4 linked regions of the Saccharomyces cerevisiae S288C genome follow. Changing the gene in region 2 together with the main gene of any one other region gives a genetic interaction. Each region holds a gene or a part of one and is shown on either strand. Other genes may lie near its edges.

Evidence for each region.
Region 1: of RSR1 (region 2) and BUD2, changing one suppresses a phenotype caused by changing the other (phenotypic suppression), as found in Saccharomyces cerevisiae (one study listed by BioGRID).
Region 3: of RSR1 (region 2) and NBA1, a mutation in one rescues a mutant of the other (synthetic rescue), as found in Saccharomyces cerevisiae (one study listed by BioGRID).
Region 4: of RSR1 (region 2) and ARF3, changing one suppresses a phenotype caused by changing the other (phenotypic suppression), as found in Saccharomyces cerevisiae (one study listed by BioGRID).

The regions. Positions count from the first base shown.
Region 1 is NC_001143.9:264,602-271,422, reverse strand, and holds BUD2 (GTPase-activating protein BUD2), read left to right. Parts: upstream 1-1,963; coding exon 1,964-5,278; downstream 5,279-6,821. Other genes in the region: YKL091C (phosphatidylinositol/phosphatidylcholine-binding protein), read left to right, coding at 773-1,705; MBR1 (Mbr1p), read right to left, coding at 5,615-6,634. UniProt on the Saccharomyces cerevisiae protein: Stimulates the GTPase activity of BUD1/RSR1. Participates in the regulation of bud-site selection.
Region 2 is NC_001139.9:792,999-797,978, forward strand, and holds RSR1 (Ras family GTPase RSR1), read right to left. Parts: upstream 2,495-4,980; coding exon 1,676-2,494; downstream 1-1,675. Other genes in the region: CCM1 (Ccm1p), read right to left, coding at 1-55; YGR153W (uncharacterized protein), read left to right, coding at 3,094-3,747; GTO1 (omega-class glutathione transferase), read right to left, coding at 3,800-4,870. UniProt on the Saccharomyces cerevisiae protein: Ras-related protein which binds GDP/GTP and possesses intrinsic GTPase activity. Involved in development of cell polarity during the cell division cycle, and essential for bud emergence.
Region 3 is NC_001147.6:194,907-200,439, reverse strand, and holds NBA1 (Nba1p), read left to right. Parts: upstream 1-1,714; coding exon 1,715-3,220; downstream 3,221-5,533. Other genes in the region: histone deacetylase HST1, read left to right, coding at 1-72; kinetochore-associated Ndc80 complex subunit NUF2, read right to left, coding at 143-1,498; succinate dehydrogenase assembly factor SDH5, read right to left, coding at 3,445-3,933; THP1 (Thp1p), read right to left, coding at 4,103-5,470.
Region 4 is NC_001147.6:499,720-504,561, forward strand, and holds ARF3 (Arf family GTPase ARF3), read left to right. Parts: upstream 1-3,075; coding exon 3,076-3,627; downstream 3,628-4,842. Other genes in the region: CMR2 (Cmr2p), read right to left, coding at 1-2,733; ribose-5-phosphate isomerase RKI1, read right to left, coding at 3,833-4,609. UniProt on the Saccharomyces cerevisiae protein: GTP-binding protein involved in protein trafficking; may modulate vesicle budding and uncoating within the Golgi apparatus.

The sequences.
Region 1 (6,821 bases), on a different chromosome or scaffold from region 2:
TTTATATGTCCCTAATTATGCAAGAAAAGCTAATATGAATACAAAAAAAGGCATGTGGGTGAATTACAAACTGCAGACTGTTTGAAAACAACCTTTTCAATGCATCCAGATTTTGTTGAAAGTATTTTTTTATGGACCCTGAGGACCGGATAGTAAGACAACAGGTGATTAACCTCCAGATGGTCCTTTCTCCTACTATTGTCCTATCTGATGACACCTCAATATCTCACCAAGTAAGCGACTTCAGAACACTCCAGATGGAATTTATGTGCCTTAATTATACGTAAAACATTGTCCGTTCTCTTCAGTTATAATTACTGCTGATTCAGGGGCGGCAGCTGATATATCTCGAGTCACCTTCAAAAATCAAACCTGCTATTGGGACCCGTACTTCCATTTGGATTTACCAACTTGATTCTTCTATCAGAGACGAAGGCCCTTATAAACCTTGAACCTGAGCTTAAAATTTACATATTACTTTCTTGTAATCATTAAGTATGAATTTGCAAGGCGTTTACATGAAAAGAGGTCGGCATAGTACATATGGAAATTTACTGGTATGCAATCCATTATGTGTTATCATATCTTTTTTACATAACAGGCACTTCTGAAATTCCCCCTCTTGTATGCCCCTATTTACTCCTTTTTAAATTCTTCGGATTATTATTTAGATCGTGATTCTCTCTACTCAAACATTTCCTTGAACTTGTATAACGGGGAAATAAATCTGAAAAGCAATACATTTGCGCACTGTTAAAACTGGAAAGGAAGAATGACAACCAGCATACTCGATACTTATCCTCAAATATGCTCCCCCAATGCTTTGCCAGGTACTCCCGGCAATTTGACTAAGGAGCAAGAGGAAGCGCTTTTGCAATTTAGGTCAATCTTGTTAGAAAAGAATTACAAAGAAAGGCTGGATGATTCTACGCTATTGCGATTTCTACGGGCAAGGAAATTTGATATCAATGCTAGCGTTGAGATGTTTGTAGAAACTGAACGATGGAGGGAAGAATACGGTGCCAACACTATTATCGAGGATTATGAAAACAACAAGGAAGCCGAAGACAAAGAAAGAATCAAATTGGCCAAAATGTACCCTCAGTATTACCATCACGTTGATAAGGATGGGAGACCATTGTACTTCGAAGAACTAGGAGGAATTAACTTAAAGAAAATGTACAAGATCACTACCGAAAAACAGATGCTAAGAAACTTAGTCAAGGAGTACGAATTATTTGCCACGTACCGGGTCCCAGCGTGTTCGAGAAGAGCTGGCTACCTTATTGAAACTTCGTGCACTGTGCTGGACTTGAAGGGTATCTCACTTTCTAATGCTTATCATGTGCTTTCCTATATTAAAGATGTTGCAGATATCAGTCAAAATTATTATCCTGAAAGAATGGGTAAGTTTTATATTATACACAGTCCATTTGGTTTCTCGACGATGTTCAAGATGGTTAAACCCTTCTTGGATCCAGTAACCGTGTCAAAAATCTTTATTCTTGGCTCTTCTTATAAAAAGGAATTATTAAAACAAATTCCAATCGAGAACTTGCCTGTTAAATATGGTGGTACATCTGTCTTGCACAACCCTAATGATAAGTTCTACTATTCCGATATTGGTCCCTGGAGAGACCCTAGATACATCGGACCAGAAGGTGAAATTCCCAACATTTTTGGTAAATTTACTGTTACCAGCTAACTATGATACAGGCCTTCGTCGTAGCTTTCCGTGAATATAGCATGCATACTCTATAATATGTATATCTCTGTATCTAATAATAATTAATGACTTTCATTCTTGAACGCGTTCTGTTCGATAAAAAAGAAAGGTATCCAAACAAACGCCATTTATGAAAACGGAGGAAGAAACAACAAAATAGTAGGAATAACTACTCGGTCAGACTGAAAACTTTATCCGTGCATACGTCGTGGTGTTTATCTTTGATTGTATCATATTATGAGCTCCAACAATGAACCGGCCCAAAGTCGAACATCATATTTCAAATTGAATGAATTTTTGTCCAACGTTAAGCATTACAAGAATACCTTTAAGGGTGAGATTCAGTGGTGTAATAACCTGTCCTTAAACGACTGGAAGACACACTATCTGCAAATTACCAGTACAGGTGCACTAACCCACTCAATCGATGAGTTAACAGCAGACTCTACTAATATTCAGCCAATTATCAAACATCTACAGCAATGTAGAATCGAGATTATTAAGGATAAGCATTCCTCTTTTAAGGATATTAATGCAAATTGTAATTTTATAATCCAAGTAAACACCTCAGGTAAAGATAATAAAGTTTACCTGCGAGTTAAAAGTTGGAGTGATTTCAAGAAATTGCTAACATGTCTGATCTGGTGGAGCTCAATGAAGACAAATGGTATATTTAATAAGTTTCAAGTATCGCGACCTCTAGAATTTAAAAGCAAAAAAATGGCGAAACCAGAAAGTTTGCTGGTTTACAAATTGAATGTTTTTGGGCCCATCGTTAAGAACATCGTCCTTCCGCCAGCAACAAATATTTTAGAAAGCCCTGATATAATTAATAATGATGACAACAGCGTAGGTTGGTTTTCCGCTATGGGGGTGCTTAAATCAAACGGCATGCTAGATCTTCTTTTACAGAGTGACGGCTCTCTGATTTACTCATTGAATATTAGCCAGCTTTTAAGATCAGAGATAAGAATTCTGGATTCATCTGTTTTACAAAGTGAAAACAGTTTGTTTTTAGGTGAATTGCCATTACTAAGGAGCCAGTTGGGCCTCGAAAAGTTTCGCATAGAAAATATTGCCAGTGCTGCCACCAACTCTAGTGATATTTCTCAAGAAATTATTGTAGAGTTTCCCTTAAGAATAGACCTGGAGGATTGTTTTATAGCGTTACAATCGTTCGCTAGGTCGGAATACTTATCTATTACTGGCTCAGATAAATCAAATGATATGAAGATATCGAATAGCTTTAAAATTTCCATACTGGAAGCTAATTTTCAGTCAATCAATTTAAATGACAAGAATAATACGCCATGGTCAATATTCACAGACATAACGGCCTGGGGCCATACATGGGCTAGAACATCCATGGTTTCAAACTCCTCTAATCCATTTTGGAGAGAAGAGTTTCAGTTCAATGAACTTTTAAGACTTACTAATTCTTATCTGGAAATCAAGCAGTTATTCCACGATCTCAATAATAAAAAACGGTTACGATTGATAGGCAAAATAAAAATCACACAAGAAATAATAAATGATACAAGATATAATAAGGAAACAAGACTACCCATCATGGACGTTGATAACAAAAATTTTCAAATAGGAACAATCTGTATTAAAATTTCTTCAAATTTGAACTTCATTTTACCGTCAACCAATTTCGTTAAATTGGAAAAACTTTTGATGAACGCAAACTTGTCCATGGTTTCCAATCTAATTTACAAATCTTCTTCATCAATGGAGAATGATAACAAATTGACGCAAACATCCATAATTTTTCTCGATATATTCCAATCTTTGTCAAGAATAGAAGAATGGTTCCACGTCCTTATAGACAAAGAATTGGCTAAAATTGATGGAACGGTTTCAAGAATAAACCAGAAAAATTTAGACTCAAAGCATGTTTTCAACAGTTTATTCCGTGGTAACTCTATCTTAACAAAGTCGATTGAACAGTACTTTTTCAGAGTGGGTAATGAATATTTGAGTAAAGCGCTTAGTGCAATACTAAAAGAGATCATTGAGTCAAACAAATCATGTGAATTGGATCCTGCTAGAGTAAAAGAAAAAGATGAAGTAAAAAAGAGGAAAATAATTGCCGACAACTACAAACGATTGTATTCTTGGGTTACGAAGATTTGGAAAAGGCTGTATGCAACGAGTAATGACCTGCCGATTGAAATAAGAAATGTTTTAAAAATCTTTAGGCAAAAACTAGAGATAATTTGTATCGATGACACTTTGCAAATAATTTTGAATGGTATATCAGGATTATTGTTTTTAAGGTTTTTTTGTCCAGTCATATTAAACCCTAAGCTATTCAAATATGTTTCTCAAAATTTAAACGAAACAGCAAGAAGGAATCTTACCCTAATAAGTAAAGTTTTACTTAATCTGTCCACTTTGACGCAGTTTGCAAACAAAGAGCCCTGGCTAATGAAGATGAATAACTTTATCGATAAAAGACACAATGACTTATTAGATTACATTGATAAAATGACGCAAAAGAAACTAGATTTTAATTCAAAGATATTGAACCTAAGTTCTACTATTTCGAGACCCAAATTGGCCATTGAACAAACGATGTTGGATGATTTGCCTCAGATTCCTTATCTGCTTGATAAGAATTTGAGAGAAACTGAGTTTGTTAACTTGATTGTTAATTTCAGTCAGGAAGATATGACCAAGATGGAAAAATACAATCACATGGATAATGGTGGGAAGGGAGAATTAATCGAAGAGGAGGGCCTGTTAAGCGGTAGCAGCCTAAATTTGTCTGTGGATAAAAAAGATTTGGATTCACCAATTGAGGTTAAGCCAGAAATTGGAGAGTTAGAATTTGAGAAAATAACTGAAAACAACACGGAGATCTTCGGAGATGATTTAATGAACCTACTGAAAAGCGATGATGTAGGTTCCAGAAGCAGAGATTTGGATAATGGCGCTAATTCAGGCATCAAATTTAATTCTATAATCCCGAAAGCAGAAGAGGAAAAGCATGCAATGAAAGAATTGGAGCAAGAGTCATGTTTACTCTATAATAGGATTAATCATATTAGAAAACGGTTGTCAGGTTATGAATGTGCTTCCAGCACTTTGTTTGAAGACAAAAAATACTCCATTTCACTCTCACATAAAATTTTTTATGAAGAAATAAAGGAGGGAAAAGAAATTGTTCTTAAACTACTAAATAAACCAACAAATGAAAACTCTTCCGCAAGATTGCAGAAATTCTTCACAAAAGGTGTCTCTAGTAAATCCAATAACACAGTTGGAGATAGTTACTGTAAATTTTTGACTATTGATGTAAGTGATGAGAATCCCAAGAGTAGCAACAAAACATCGGTACATGGAACATCATCGGAAAATGGAGCCAAGGATGATTACTTGACGCTTCCAAACTCGCAAGGTAAAGGTAACTTGGGGAATAGATTTTCCCCGACAAAGTTATCTAGGATAATGAGGAAACCTCCTAACGCAGATGTTCCTAAAGAACAAAATTCCCGTAAGCTGACAAGATGGTTCAAAAAGAAAAAAGAAACAGGGGGATCTTAATCGTAGAAAAAAATGTTCACTTCATATTCTTTCCTTTGAAAGTTTTTTTTTTTTTACTTCTTTATTCACTACTTGTAACAGTATATAGCGGGTTGTACTATCAGCAGAAAAAAGTAATTCATAATTTTTCAGAAAGATTTCTCATAATATAGTATATAAAAAAATGCTTCGAGAGGAGATGATAGACAGCGATAAGTATATGGAAATTTGGAAACCAAACAGGAGATACAAATGGGTATATATTATATTTAATAAAAACGAACAGATGGCGATCCAGAATGTGGAAATAAATAACAAAGTTGAACATCATACGGTTATTCCAAGGTGGCGAGAATGTTAGCCTGCAAAGGAACTTGCTAGTGACATCTCAATGAAAGATTTTTTCCTCCCAGCACCAAAGTTTGGTTTCGAAGACTGTTGCTGTTGTACTGGCTGCCTTGGTTGGTGGAATTGATTTGTATTTGTACCTAAAGGGAAATTTAGTGATGAGGAAGTGTTCGAATGTGATAATGATGAGGAGGTGTCCCCTGTATCGTTCGGACAACACGATGATATTTCACGGGGCCGATTATTTGAAAACCTTTCAATACTTTCTTCTGGGTCAGCAGTCAAAGTATCCAACCCAGGTGAAACGTACTTTTCCAAGCCATACAAATGTGTTGGTATGGCAATGGCAGAAGACCTTGATCTTGACCTGGGTAGAGAAAACGACCTTGAGTTGCAATGTTGAAGTGAGTTACTAGAGAATTCTGAATTGGGTGTTTCACTTTTCAGTAATACGTTGTTTTTCTTTTTAGTACACGCACCGCTAAAGAGCTCTGGTATAGACTGTCTGGAGGAGCTTGAGCTCCTTCCGTTCACTAAAAGGCCATTTATATTGGTATTACATTTTTTTAGCGGGTTCCTCATTGTGGTATTGTTCGATGAAGATGAAGTAAAGTACGACGTTGTTTTGGCCTTTCTCAAGCTAGGCATGCCTCCATATTTGGAGTCGACAGGGTCATGGACAGTAGAAGCTATGGAATTTGTATCAGAATTTGCCTCAGATACTGAGCCGTTTCTCGATGGAGCTAATTCTGACTCCGCTGGGAGTGCTTCATCTATTTTACACAGTGGATTCAGTGTCTGTTGACATTTAGCATTACACGGAGATGAATCAGGCTGAAAATTGAAGCTACTAAGCTTTGCTCTCAGTTCTTCATCTGCATCTTCTGTGTCACAGGCCTCACAACATGGGTCCTGAACAGCCCTTTCGAAAAAGTTCAAACAGTCTATATCGTCGATTGGACCCCGAGAATATTCATCGTTCATATCTCCTGCAGAAAGTGGTTTGTCTGTTGTTTTTTCCATCCTCATGTTGGGTAAATGTAATAATTCTTCTTACTTAGCACACACACCTGTTCTTTTACTCGAGTTCAGAACACATTAATCGATAACAAACGCAACAGTTAAAATGAGAATTGAACAAGAAACTTCTAAGGGTGGAATGGAGAAAAAAAAACCTCTGTATTTAGCGCCATTCGCACCAATAATACATTTTCAT
Region 2 (4,980 bases):
GTTGAAATGGGAAACACAGCACATTATTCTTGGGGCCACATCTGGCCATGTACATGTTTATATTTATCTATCTGTTAGGACTTGTGAAACAATGCTATTTTCCTGTGCACTATGGACTATGGCTTTGCTTTTACATTTTATGCCTCCAATTTTTCACAATCCTGTCCGACGCTCAGATATTGGTGTGGAAGTAGAGCTAACTCTCTATCTCAGAAAAAAGGTTAGAGCAAGGCAGATCTTTTGCAATAAGAATCAGTTACCATCGATCGATTTGAATTCATATTACTAGTACTTTGCAATACACTGTGTAAGAAGATGTCATAAAGATTGAGAAACGGTCATCAAACTTAATGTAAGCAGAGACACGAGGATTGATGATGAAGTAAGATAATGTGCGACAAGGAAGAAAAAATAATAGCATTATGTAGAGATATCGATTCCCTTTTGTGGGCGCTATGTTCTGGAGGAGAGTTTCTAGTATATTCCTTATCCATAATGTTATATGTGATCTTTATCAACAGTGGAATCCCAACAATAATGCAATTATTCACCCATTTTTCACAAGCAAGCAAGCATTATGAGAGAAGAACGAATGTACAGTCATTTAGATGATAAGATTGGAAGTAGGTCATGATAGTCAGGATTATGTAAAGACACTTGGTGTAACCCTGTATCGGCTGATTTATAATATCGAGAAAGATAATATAAGAAGCGCCTGAGAGTCAGTGGATCGATTATCGAAAATAGAATAGAGACGTTCACGGAGACCCACTGAATGTTTCGTATTAAAGGAGGGATGACTACTAAACCATTTTCACCGCTACTGGTGGCCATTTTGTATTCTTCCATTTACAAGAATTGCTCCCGACTTTTGTTCCATCAGTGGACGATAGACCATTGTCAAACACAGTAATTCTATTTTATTCTTGAGATGAGATGCCGCAATATGACCTGATATGAATCACCCTAAATGTCCGATCTAAACAAATAAAAGGCGTGCGAAACAGCCTCACGACGAGATATGAAGTCGAAAACATCGGCCTAATTTCTGTGCTTTTTAGAAGACTACTCAGATTTTCAATATCAATACAGTGAGTTAGATCTCAGGTTGAGAAGAAACACTTTGATTTTACTAGATAGGAAAGAAAAATGGACTAATTAATCAATCATTTTGTCATCGTTGAAACTTGATAACGCACGCTAAACGATAACGACTATGTTGGAGGGAAAACATTAACGATTACTCTTTTAAGTAATTGCGAAGTATATCTGAGACTAAAGACCCTCTGAATTAATTATATCAATCAACATAAACTATAAGAAACTACAGTGTGAGCTTTAGTTACGAGAGTGTGGATCTGTTCATTTAATATTTTTTATACGTAACGCAGCATCTACCGTAAAATCCCATAGATTGCGGGCACATGGCGCAGTTGGTAGCGCGCTTCCCTTGCAAGGAAGAGGTCATCGGTTCGATTCCGGTTGCGTCCATATTTTTAACATTTCATTTTTTTTGGGTTTAAATTTATTTTCAAACATTATTAATTGATTTCTTTAAAAACTTATACAACGTATGCTAATACTTTAAACTAAACCTTTTAGAACTATAATAAAACTATTTCAAGTAAAGTCTTTTTATCTGATATCTTGATTCATTTATAATAAAATTAAGTGACTATAGAATAGTGCAAGTGGAAGCGTTTTTCTTCTTTTTCTTTTGTTGTGAAGTAGCGCTAATTCCTGTCCTGTTGCTAGAACCAGATTTCGGAACGGCATGTGACGGTTTGTGCTTTTCATTAACCGGAGTAGATTGTTTAACTTTAGCTTGTCCTTGTGAAGATTTGTTATATAAACCTTTTGATGATTGCTTATTGTTTGATTGTTTCGTATCCTGTTTCGCAGAACTAGGGAGCCTGGTTGATGGAGACTCGATTTTGCTAAATTGTTGACTTTGATTTCTTGCGTCTTTAACTGCAACACTTTCCATTTCATTCCGAATGATTTGCCTAACTAAATCAACGAACACTTCATCCACATTGCTCCTCAACAAAGCGCTTGTTTCATAAAAGGGAACTCTACCCCATTTACTGCTTACCTCTATACCTTCTTCCACACTTATTACCCTTTCATTGATTAGATCAGCCTTGTTACCTATTAGAACCATTGGAACGCGATCGGAATCTTTGATCCTAAGGACCTGTTCTCTTAGCTCCATTAATTCTTCCAAAGATTGCCGATCTGTTACTGAATATACCAACAGGAACCCCATTCCTGACTTTATGTATAATTCTCTCATTGCAGTAAATTGTGCTATACCCGCTGTATCTAAAATTTCCAGGTCGAATACCTTGTTATCGATCTCGATGGTTTTCCTGTAAGAATCTTCGATCGTTGGATCATACGTATCCAAATAAACTCCCTGTACAAACTGCACGGTTAAGCAGGATTTACCGACACCACCAGCACCCAATACTACTAATTTATAGTCTCTCATTAGTCCTAATGTTTCCTAGCCAAATATTTCTAAGCGATGATAGAAGCCAAAATATTAGAACGTTGTATGTAAATGTTCTATATCGTTACTAAATAATAGTATTATTGTTCAGTGGAGAGGATGAAATTTCAAAAACTTCTTGGCGTAGTTAAGAACGAACGCAATGGTTCTTTTTTTCGAGATCGAGCTCTACTTTACTTTTTTCTTTTTCTGTCCTTCTCTCTTTTCTTTTTAACCTTTTTCGACGATATTTCGCGTTTGAGAATGTCGAGGATGAATGCGCTTTGACGCGAATTAGTTGTGAGGCTGACGTTGTGATAAAAAGGCGATGATTCTTGGGAATATACAGTCTGTTTCCACTTGCTAGATAAAATGTATGATATTCCAAAAATGCCTTTCTCTATTGAACTGTATGACTGAGATACGCCTGCTTTTACCTTGTATATTATGAGTACTATTCGCCTTTTCCCATAAAGTTGTTTTTTTCTGGGGTTTATGTGTATCGTAAATGGTACAAAATAATAAAATTCTTATCTTGAAAATACTGTTTAATACTTTTCATCATTACTAAATAGGTTACGAAAAGAGGTCTTTGAGAAATGGGAAAGGCCTGTTTGAATAAAGAAGTCGGCACTTACGAATGTGAGGGGGAAAGAGATACCTACTCATTTTTTACCTCTCTCTCAGATATACAGGATTCAAGTAGTAACGAGGAACAATGCGGTGTAGGAAGTATATTGAGTGAAGATAGTTTCACGTTTGAAGGGTCCAACGTGAGCATACGGTTATTTTCCTTGGACTTAAATGCCTTGAATGAAAATGAGAATGGATCCAAGAATCCTGTGAAATTTACCATTCCGCCAAAAATAGAACAAAGAAAGGAAGCAAGACAAAGAGAGAAACGTTTAAGGAGGGTGGCAGTACTACCTGAGAATTCGAGAAACTACCTTGTTGAATCAAGTATGGATTCAAGTAGGGAATACAGTCAACCATTTTTTGACTGGAGGCATGAAATGGTAGAACATGGAGAGGAGAGTGTAAAACCGTGTGGTTGTCATAAATCGAGAAAAGCAAAATGCTTCAAAGAACTGGAGATGGAGAATATAGAAAAGGGCGATATAAAGAAGAGTCTCTTTTACAGAGACATAATTGAATGGTGCAGAGACTATGAAGTCAATAAAACTAGGGAAGTCTGTGTTCCGTCTATACACGAGTTTTACCTACATGGAAATGGAAGTGACAACCTCTTTTGAAGTATAGCCATGCATATAAATATATGTGTGTGTAAGAAAATATTAGAAGTTTTCATAATCTAGAAATGTCAGGCTTTGGGCCTAATGGCACTATACCAAACTGATTGATCTTGTTCCTACTTACTTCCATCCTGATGTAAAAGAGCTTAATATGATTAAAATCTGTAGTAAATCTAAACTCTGCGTAATTCCAGTATAGATTAATCAACCACAAATGAAGGTACGGGAAACCATCCCTTATAGTTTTCAAATTGCATTTGAAGTGCTGCACGTACACGACGTCAAATCTAATTATTGATGGATACAATCTGATATCCGCTTCAGTTAACCTCTGTCCTAAAACAAAATATTTAGCCAAGATTTTCTGTTTGTTACCACTGAATTGCTCCTCTAAGCGCTTATAATTTTCTTTTAGTACACATTCCATCTTCTGCAAGTTTTCAAACAGTGTTTTTACTTCAGTTTCGTAAATCTTTCCGTTTTCTGCTAATCCGACTTTATAGACACCAAGATTAATCTTCGGATGAACCCATTTGATGTTCTTATCAATCTCGTCTATTAAATCATGCGGAACTAGATCAATCACGTTCGTTTCTTCGCTTTGGATAAATTCATCAAACACGCCACTGTTCAAAATTCTTATGATATCGCCACTCTCATTGTTAACAATTTTCCTTGTTTTAGAATCCCACAGAACAGGCACAGTGAACTTTGTACCGGGGTACTTAGGATCATTTAAGTAGTACAACTCGCTTAACCTTGATATATTTTCCACCGGGTCGAAAGCGCCATCCACGAACAACCTTGCAGAGTCATTGTTCACATCACCTAACTCCTCAGATTCGTCTAATTTAGCTGAAGCAATGCCACCAGTGGCAGTAAAGAATCTCTCTTTATATTTTTCCGGCCGGTGTGGAGCAGGTAAGAAACGGGCACCCTTGGAGTCTAATTGCCAGTGAGATAACACAAGCCCTAGAACAGGTTCTAATTTCTTCAAAGACCTGGCAAGAATGGCTCTATGAGTGAATGGACACCCAAGGGCCCCGTAAATATAATACCTTCCTTTTTCTGGTTTAAAAACAGAATGTGTCTTAGAAATTGTTCCCTTGTAAGATACTGACATGGCTTACTGTTTATGATTATTTTTACGAGTATTTTCCTCTATAAGTGGCCATCTCTCCAATTGGCAAAGTCAAGACTTTTGTTATGTCAATATGTGCTACCAAAAATCAA
Region 3 (5,533 bases), on a different chromosome or scaffold from region 2:
GATTACAACTGTACGGAAATAGATAAAGGTACGTATAAGATTAAGAAACAGCCACGAAAGAAACAACAGTAAATTCCAAAAAAAAAAAAAAAAAAAAAAAGAAGAAAACACAGAAGGGGGAGTAAAAATAAGTATACCGCTGCTATTGCATATATTCGAGCATTTCATTCATGTATTTATTAATATGACCAGATAATAAAGAATATTCAATCTCAATTTCTTTAACTTCAACTTCGAAATCTTTTTGTAATTGTTTAATTTCATCATTTAATTTATTGATTTTACCACTGATCAGTTCCTCTTGAATGAAAATGTCCGTTTTGTCAATCTTAGGTTTGATTTCATTTTCATATTTGATTTGTAGATCCATCAATTTAGTATCATTTAGGCGCGACTCTTCTTTAGTATCTTGCGATAGCTTTTCCAAATTCTTGAGTTGCAAATCTAACTGTTCTTGTAAGATTTCTAATTTATACATAATACCTGTTTCCAATACATTCATCAATTTCAGCTTATTGTTGATTAAATTTTGCTTTAATCCCACAAGTTCCGTTTCAGTTCGATTAGACTCTTGCACCTCGCTGGAAATTATTCTCAGCACATCATAGAGCTCACTAATTATGGTTTCGAACGTCGTCACTGTATCTTGCAAGTTTTTCTGTTGTGCGGTTAAGTCGTCTAACGTCTTTTTCCTTTGTATCAACAGATCATTTAGCTCTTTGATTCCCTCGGATAACTCTTCCATGTCTGTATTGGATATTTTGATCAGTTTATCTCGATTGGACTCTAATTCCACTATTTGGAAACTCAGAGCTTCCAGATCTTTAAAGATTGACTGCTTGGAGATCTTATAGTCATTATAATCTATGGATAACGTTTCTTGGATCTTGGTCAATTTCTTCAACTGAATTTCCAGCTCCTTATTTTGCTCTTCCAGCTTTTGGAGCTCTTGCTCATCAGGTATATTATCCCCATCTACGTCCTCGTATTGCTTTAGCTGTTGCTGAATCAAGTTATAATCATCGAATTTGGAGCGAAGCTGACCCAGCAACGATTCCATTTGAAGAATAAAAGAATTACAGTCGAACATTCGTTCCTCCCTAAAACGAGCGTAATTCACCACAGCACTCAGTAAGCGCTGTGTCCGTTGGGCTTCGGGCTTGTACAAATCTGTCATATTGAAATCTTGAACACCTATGTTCTCAAAGAACTTAAAGCAGATTTTGTTCAATACCAAAACATTTAACGTGTCCAAATAAATGTTCTCGTTCTCTTCCTGTAAGTGACCATCCCCTGTTTCTTGGTTACTACTATTCAGCAACGACTCTACAGAAATACCCATGAAGTTCTCGATGATTTGTTTGTAAAGGGTTACCATGTAGTCTGAGGTGGGCCTAGAGATATTTTCCTGTGTGGCTAGCGCAAAATCACAGCTTTGCAAACATATAACTAGTTCCTGTAGATCCAAAATGGGGAACACATCTTGATTCCTACTCATTTTGCTCAAGGGATGCTGGAGCCTTTCTCCTCAGTACATGCTTTTTACCAGTATTTTTTCATAATATTGTTTATTTTAATTGTTATTGTTTGTTACATGTCCCGATTCGGAAAAGCGATCTTTTGATCAAATGGCTGGCACCATCAAGAAGAGAAAGAACGCTGATATATTCGACTAACAAGAAGACCATTATCAAAACCAGATAGGTGTATAAGTATGTCAGAAGAGAGGGAAGAAAACGGGATATCTAGGGCTACGCTGAATACGCAGCGACTTTCAGCAATGATCGATTCACTGAACAATGAGAAAGATGACAGGCTCTTTCCATCTCCCACAACTACCAGGACAATGATCACAGAGGAAAAGGCGGATCAAAGTGATGTCTTTAAACCACCATCGAGATTGTTGAGATCACCTGCTGGTGACGTTTCGCTGCCACCTGGTGATAACAGATCAAGTATGATTTCCAACTACTCTGGAATTATTCAAGAAGGCGTTGAAGTATCATATGTGGTCAAAAACCGGCAACAGACCCAAGAACGGCGCACAAGTAAGGATTCCAATAGTTTGTACTCCTTGAAAGAGCCCGTGAGCAAGAACGAGTTACCGTCGTTGCCCATGTTGCCTTCAGAAGCGACATTGACAAAACATCTAAGTGATAACCAAAGCACAAAATCGAATACCAATGCAGACGAAATTGTCATTAAACCAGTTACTAATGCCAAACCTGTGGGAAGGTTTAACTCTAACACTTCAAAAAAAGTAGAGGGTCGTGGCTCACTGAAACTGTTATCTAGTCCTCTACGTCAGGAAAAAGTTATGCGTTCCTCTATAGGATCAGGTAATTTGGCCAGCGAGAGCGGATCTTCCACTTATAATACCAAATTCCATCAATCTATTCAAGAGCAGCTCGAAGAAGAAGAGGAAGGAAATGTTAGCGATAAGCTTTCAATTGTTTCCAGTGTCATACCCGAGTTGTATACAACCACCAACGAAGCACCCAAAGCGATAAACCCAATACGTTCTGAAACCAATGACTACAATCCAACTATTCCGCCCAGAAGTAAGGACCGTCCTAGGTCAAGGTTGTTCATCGAAGAAGGTGATGGCGAGGGGGATCTTTTAACCGAAGAAATATTACCAACGCCGGTCCAACCTGGTGGCCACTATAAGAACTCATCTCAGATTTCCACAGTTAGTGAACAAAAATCGGAATCTTACTATTCTGCGGCAACGAGTATGCCTCCAGAGGAAGAGACTTACTTGACAAGACCATTGCCCAGCACACCCAATGAGGATAGCAGAGTTACATCGAATTTGAAACGTGACGACACATTGAAGGCTATTCATGATAGGGCAAATCATACCTCTACTTCGACAAACAAACAAGATGATGACATGTACGAGGACATCATTGAGGAAACGCCCAAGAAAACTAAACTCAAGAAGGATACGAAAAAAAAGCTCAATAAAAAAAAATCTGTGAAGGAATTGCGATCCTTTGATATCGACACACTAAATCAACTGTTGAGTGTGACAAAGGGAACCTTAATCGGGTCTGAATTTGCGCAACTGGGGATGAAAATTGAGGAGAAACGTGCCCTGGAGAGACTAGTAGACTCTTTGTCCAGGTTAACAGCAGACATGGTTCTTGATCCGGACCGCTATGAAGAAGGACTGAAAAGATTAGACAAAGCTACAAAGGCTCTTGAAGGGTTTTGATGGTGCAACAACAATAATAATAGTAATAGTAACAGTGGTAGTAACAATAACAATAACAATATCAATATCAATATCAATAATATATTATAATACTAATAATGAATAATAATAATAGCAATAAGTATAGTATAGTATAGTGGTAATATATAAGTTTCTTTCTCTTCCGGTTTATTTACAAGTCATATACAAATAAAAAAAAGTGATAGTAATTCAATGGCTTGTATTCATTGATACTTGGACAAGTCCGGCATACTTAAAATTTCCTTCTCTTTATTTTCACTGAATTCTTGTAGCTGCTTCAGCAATTTAGAATTGGCCCACTTGTCAGGCAAGGGGCTGGTTTTGAAATTTTTTGTGGCCCAATAGTATATGTCCCAGTCCAACTCATTCAATAGCGAATCGTATTCTTCCAGTTCCTCTTCGTTCATCTTCTTCAAATATTTGGCAGCGAACCCAGATAGCAGCAAGTCCGTCTCCAAGATCCCTCTTTTGCGTGATTGATATATCAACCGAGCTCTTTTCTTATCCAATGGCTCGTTAGTTCTCTTTATGGGGGCAATTTTAATCCTCGTCACCACATCGTCGTGGTCATCTTTATCACTACTAAACCACCTACGACCGCACGACCATGCAGCGGACCCTGTTTGAGAGTTGATAATCTTGTAGCCTTGCAACGACAGTGTCTTTGTGAGTGCTGGAAACATATTGTGCATTTATGTGCTCCTTTTTAAAGTGTACTCCCTTTTTTCCTCCTGTTCTTTTTTTACAAATTTCGCCTTTCTTATATATCCTAAATATACTTAAAATCTAGTCTCTTATGAAATCTGTAAGAAACAGCATAATGTCGCTCCTTCTCTTCTATTTCCTATATATATCTACATATCACCAAAGAACGTGAGAATGGGCAGGAAACATCTTGGTGATTCGTTCATTAACCGGCGGAACAATCTCTTGTATCATTGTAGTCTTTTTCACTACACACAGTTGTAACTGTGGGAAACAGTTTGCGCGTAAAAGTCCCAAGTTAATCAGTGTCACAAGTACGTTTTCGACGTTCTTGGGGGAGTGAATGCCATTATAAATGGTAATTTCCTGGGCGCCGGGATCCTCGAATGTCGGACCAATAGATAGCTGTAGTACCCGTTCTATCAAGGAGTACGGTAATTTGTTCTGACCCCATTCGGTGGTCCAGGACTTTATTACCGTTTTAATCAGATTTCTGTACGTTACCATGGGCAGTTTCTCTAGGAGCACGATCAGTAACTGTCTTGCACACAAATGACGCTCGTTTTGTCTCAGCCAGAGACTCACGCCTTGAATATTCCCATAACGTACGTGTTTGTAGAGAACACTCCAATTATCAATTGTTTCTTGGGAAAGGAACGGTCGCAACGGTCCCCATTTGACCATCTTTCCCAGTATCAGCCCTGTAGGGATCATGTAATTTAGTATTCTGGTGCCATTCCTAGTGATCGCTTGGTTCGTTAACGGCAAGTTCAATAAGGACTGGAAAGCTTCATTGAATTGAACGAAGGCATTATGTACTTGAGAGTTCAACAAGTAGTACCTTCCTAATAGATATCTGTATTCTATTTGCTGGTCGAGCTGGTATTCGTTGAAATGTGCAAGCATGCTTTTTGGCTGAAAGTTCTTAAAGATATTGGAACATAATTGCGGTGACTCGATCCTGAAGTAGATGTTATTTAGTTTATTGACCAGGTAGAGCAGTATTCGTTGTTTTCCAGGTATATTTGTAGAAGATGCGTTACCTCGTGGAGGTTTGATGCTGTTAAATAGTCTTGATAGGATGGACGATATATGTGATAGAAATTGGTGACTTCTCGTATGCAGTTGCAAGTGGAAAGAGTCTAGTTTCCCAGCGAGATTGATGATAAATTCTGTTTCTCTAGTTGCTACTGGTATCAACATTTCTATGTGAGGAGCATTGTCGTTGATGAGACAGTTGATTAAACATTGATAAAACTCAAAAATTAGATCCGAACTGGACCAGGCTGACCATGGGTCGACATCTCGGGCATAATTTAAAAAGGATGTACACATGATTTTGAATCTCGTATCATTGGGCATAGCCGGGTGTTGTTCTACAAACGTTTCTAGCTGTTTATCATCAAATCCGGTCAATTGCTTCTGTAAGATAGCAATTTCCCTACCATTTTGGGACAAGTTTAGCGTTAGGTGGGAAAAATTTCCATGTGCTAATTCATCTAGCAACTGGTTGGCCATGTCCATTGCTATCTATCCTTTTATCCCTGCCCTGTTTCTTACTTTGAATGCCATTGATGTGAAGATGGT
Region 4 (4,842 bases), on a different chromosome or scaffold from region 2:
GGGCAAAAAATCCAATATGACATTATCGAATTGAAACTTTACAAACTGTGCACTGAGATCATTGTTTAAAAACTTCTTCTCTACCGTGCTATTGGCCAATTCCAGAGAACAATATCTCCTAGGTAAAGTATCTCTCGGCACAACTAAAATGCACATTGGTTGGATTTTATGAAAAATCCAAAGAATTCTAAAAATTTGGTCAGTTAAATCATTCATTTTCGTTTCTAATTTGTTCCTCTGTGTTTCTGCAAATTTCATTAAGGTAGTATCTGTTGTTTCGCCATTTTTACTCTCTTCTTCGGTTTTTGCTAGGGAGCTTTCTACCACCATAACTAAAAAGTGCTCTTCTTTATGGTGTTGTAATTCAAATGCAGCAACCTCAAAAACTGTATTTACTGTCCTCACAACTGTTTCAGTAATCTGTTGTAGATAGTGGGATTCAACAACTCTTTTGTATCCCGAAGATGTTTCGCCACTTAAACTCGAAATATCAATAGCCTTAGTGCTTTCTGCTCCAGTGTTACCTTTAGGTTGAGCAGATTGATTCCCTTTTTTGGCATAAAGAAGGTTTGATGTGTGAGCCCAGTTAGGTAATCTGATTAATCTATTCTGTAAAAACATATCTTCTATGAGTGAAAGCACGTATATCTTTCCGTTATGAACAAACCCCATAAGCTTGGTTCTCATAAAGTAGGTATTTGCAGGACAAATATTCAGAATGGTATCCAATTGTTCAGTAACTGCTTGCGATTTTTCGTTAGTAGGCATTTCATACTTTGCCCAAGAAAACATTTCGGAGTAATTTAGTTTTGCTTTGAACACAAATTCGTTCACTTTATCCATCTGGTAAAATTCGTCGGTGATGTGGTTAGAAGAGATCCATATTTCTCCAACAGTGAGGTCTTGCACCAACGTATTCGTATCTGGATTAACCACACATAAAGTGATATCAGGAATTGGGAAGCCAAATGTTTCTAATTTAAGATAATCTTTGAAGGAGCTTGATGAATTAATCATAGCAGTTATGCTACATTCAACCTCATTAAGCTTCAATTTCTCGCGGTTTATAAACAATTCATTTTGAAGCCTTAGTTTTGAATTATGTATTGGAAAGTTCTCTAGGTTTCCTAATTGATCTCTTATAGATATAAAGATACCACCAAAGTCCAATAACGTTAACATGGGAGAATAACAAAATGGTGCATCAATACATCCTAAATTTTTCAGCCATTTATGAACAACCATCTCGCTTACATCGGTATCTATAGTGGTACATGAGGTTAAACATGACTTGATGCAACTGAAATCTATTTTGTGCTTCTTGGAAAAAGCTGATTCGGGATTTTCCAAATAATTAATAACTACCTGCTTCAATTGTAGCTGATCATTCAGTAAAATGTCGGCTCTAAATTTATCAATGATATTTTCATAGCCCCCAGGTCGTTGTAATATACTACTATCGATAGATATCATAAGATTACCAGTAAAAAGATTGAAAAGCACACCCATTATCAAACCAGTAGATCTAGTAGGGTCCAGACTATTCAAGATAACAAACCTTGAGTTGGTTGCCATAATTTTTTTGTGAAATGGCTTCCTGATGCTTTGTGATTTTTGTTTCCAGTGAGGCATTGATCGTGAGTTTAGAATTTTTGTCATCGTTTCAAATTGGTTTATTAAGATGTTATGCTTCATGACGACGCCAGAAAGACGACCTAGCGGTGTTCTAGTAAACTCTATATATGAAATATTCGGTATATCAAAGGTAGGCGAAGTTTTTTTTGCCTTTGTGTACGTCCCTAAGTCATCAGTCTTGACAAATTTGATTTGCTGGAAAACATCGTTCTTAACCAGTTTAACTTTTGAATGATTTGATGACGAATACAAGTTATCTAATTGTCTATGACATGCGTTAGAAATCAGAACAAATTTCGAATTTGTTACTTTAATTATCTCAAGGATCTCACGCAGAGAATACGTTTCGAATGAGACTGGTACAGCTGCCATGCCGGATATGAAACAGCCTAATAATGCAATAGTAAATTCGATGACATCATTTTTATTGTACCATAGTAAAATCTTATCCATTTTGTAAAGGTGACTCTTATTCAATTCATGTGCTACCCTCTCCGCTTTCAAATAAAGTTTATCCCATGTGATGAACGTTTCTTTGCCTTTAGAATTTATGCTGATCATCGCTGTTTGACCATCATAATGTTCAAAGCGTCCCCGTAAAATTAGCGGTAAAGAATCCGTCATTGCTGAGTCTCCACTGCTAGTATTTTCGGCTCCAGTGTGTCTTGGTAGTAATGGTATCATAGGATTATAAACGGCATCCTTCACTGAACCGTTTTCATCACTGGAACCTGGCAATGACGATTGCAAAGAAGCTGTATATCTCTTGCTCCGCCTTCTGGGAGTATTGTTCGCAGAAGTCGAGTTTATAGTTGTGACACGATAGATAGAATGACGTCTGTCAATTGAATTAGGTAACGACGTAATGGATGATGCAAGACTTGTATTTCTTCTGTGCAAATGTTTCGACTTTCTCGAATTGGGAGATCGAAGCGGGGTATAAGGCCTCATTTGGGAGATTTCAAATTTGTCTAGCAATTGTTTTCTTTTGGTCTCATAACCCTTTCTTGTTAGATTTTCATCCTTATAGTCTTGAATTAACTCATTTAACCGACTTTGCAGATCTAGAGGTAAGGTAGGAGGAATAGAAAAATCCATTGGAGTAACTCAATGCCACACGCTTTTACACAGAACTGAATCACCCTAACACCAAGTTTACGGAAGCAAATGTTAAATCTGTTGAAGCTCTTTTGACTACATTATAAACAGAAATAAAACATACTAGAAAGTAATCGGGTTTTGACGATTTCATCCATTACCCGTCCGAATGATGGCACTTATAAGATAATGAAGATGTACGCAGCATTAAAACCCTATTTGCAGAAGCATAGTAAGACGCAACGTACGCTGAATTAGACTGAGACATTACAGTTGCTTTGACATTGGGAAGATAATTGGGATTTAGAACGGAAAAAAGGAAAAGACAAGCTAATTGTAGAGATGGGCAATTCAATTTCGAAGGTTCTGGGAAAACTATTTGGCTCGAAAGAAATGAAAATTTTGATGCTAGGCCTGGATAAGGCTGGTAAGACAACAATATTGTACAAACTAAAATTAAATAAAATAAAGACGTCTACTCCCACTGTCGGTTTTAACGTGGAAACCGTTACTTATAAAAACGTAAAATTCAACATGTGGGATGTAGGAGGACAACAAAGATTGAGACCTCTCTGGAGACATTATTTTCCAGCCACCACCGCACTTATCTTTGTGATAGATTCTAGTGCTAGAAACCGTATGGAAGAGGCCAAAGAAGAGTTATATAGTATCATAGGTGAGAAAGAGATGGAGAATGTAGTACTGCTGGTATGGGCAAACAAACAAGATTTGAAAGATGCAATGAAACCTCAAGAGGTTTCCGATTTTTTAGAACTGGAGAAAAATTTGAAAAACCAACCTTGGTGTGTCATCGGTAGTAACGCCTTATCCGGACAGGGTCTTGTTGAAGGATTATCCTGGATTTCGAACAACACAAACGTTCCAAAGAAATAAACATTGCATTTATTGGTGTTGAATCTGCATACACCGATTGTTCATCCTTCATTTTTACTGGATTGTACTTTACTAAAAAGAAAACTTCTGGAAAAAAAACAGTATCCAAATAACTAAATAGCTTTAATAATACAATATAAAAAATGGAGACACTGTTGTGAAAAGTCAACCTTTACTACGGTTTCTGTCTTTGCCTTTGATCTGCTCACTTTTCGGTAACTTCAACACTACCGTCAGAATTACCGAAGTAGGCTTTTGAAGCGTTGTCGATGAATAAACCTGTTTCCACCACGCCCACTAACAGTTTGATTTCTCTATGCAATTTTCTTGGATCGGAAATTTCACCGAAATCCGCATCGATAATGAAGTTATTATTGTCAGTTACAACAGGACCTGCTTTAGCAGAACCTCCTTGTCTGATGTCAACTTTTTCAGCATGCAATTGTTCTAATAGATCATTCTTGACCCTCACGTATGAGGAAGGTACAATTTCAATGGGAACACCTTGCCTCCAGTTCTTACCTAAATGTTTTGGTGACTTTTTTCTTGAATCAGCAACGACAATGAAGGTTTTAGCACTAGTACTAACCAATTTTTCTTGAAATAGACAAGCACCACCACCTTTAATTAATTGTAAATTCTCATCCACTTCATCAGCACCGTCAAACGCTATATCAATGCGAGGATACTGTTCAATGGAGCCTAATTGCAACTTGTTATCCAAAATCAAGTTTCTTGATTGGAATCCTGTTGGAATGCAAATGAATTTAGACGCTACTTCATAAAATTTAGGGTCATGCAAATATTGTCCAATTCTTTCGGCAACATAAACCACTGTGCTACCACTACCAATTCCAATAATTTTGTGATCATCAAATTTTAAATTTTCATCAACTGCTCTGTATGCTGCAGCTCTCTTGGCATCCTCCAAAGGATTGCCCAAAGATTCTAACGCATCAATTTTTGGGACACCGGCAGCCATTTCTTTCCTATGTTGTATTTATATGAGGTTGCAGTATGCGGTAACCAAGTTTATGTAACACGATGTTGTTAATTTTCTACAAGAGAAAAGAACGTCCCAGTACAAAGAGAATAAATTGCATGTAATAAATTGAAACAGTTTCACACTGCAACGCAAGCCGTACATATATTATATTATCCAAAGCGTACGTAAACTGACACCCAATTACGAACCAGATGAAATTTCACCGAGTT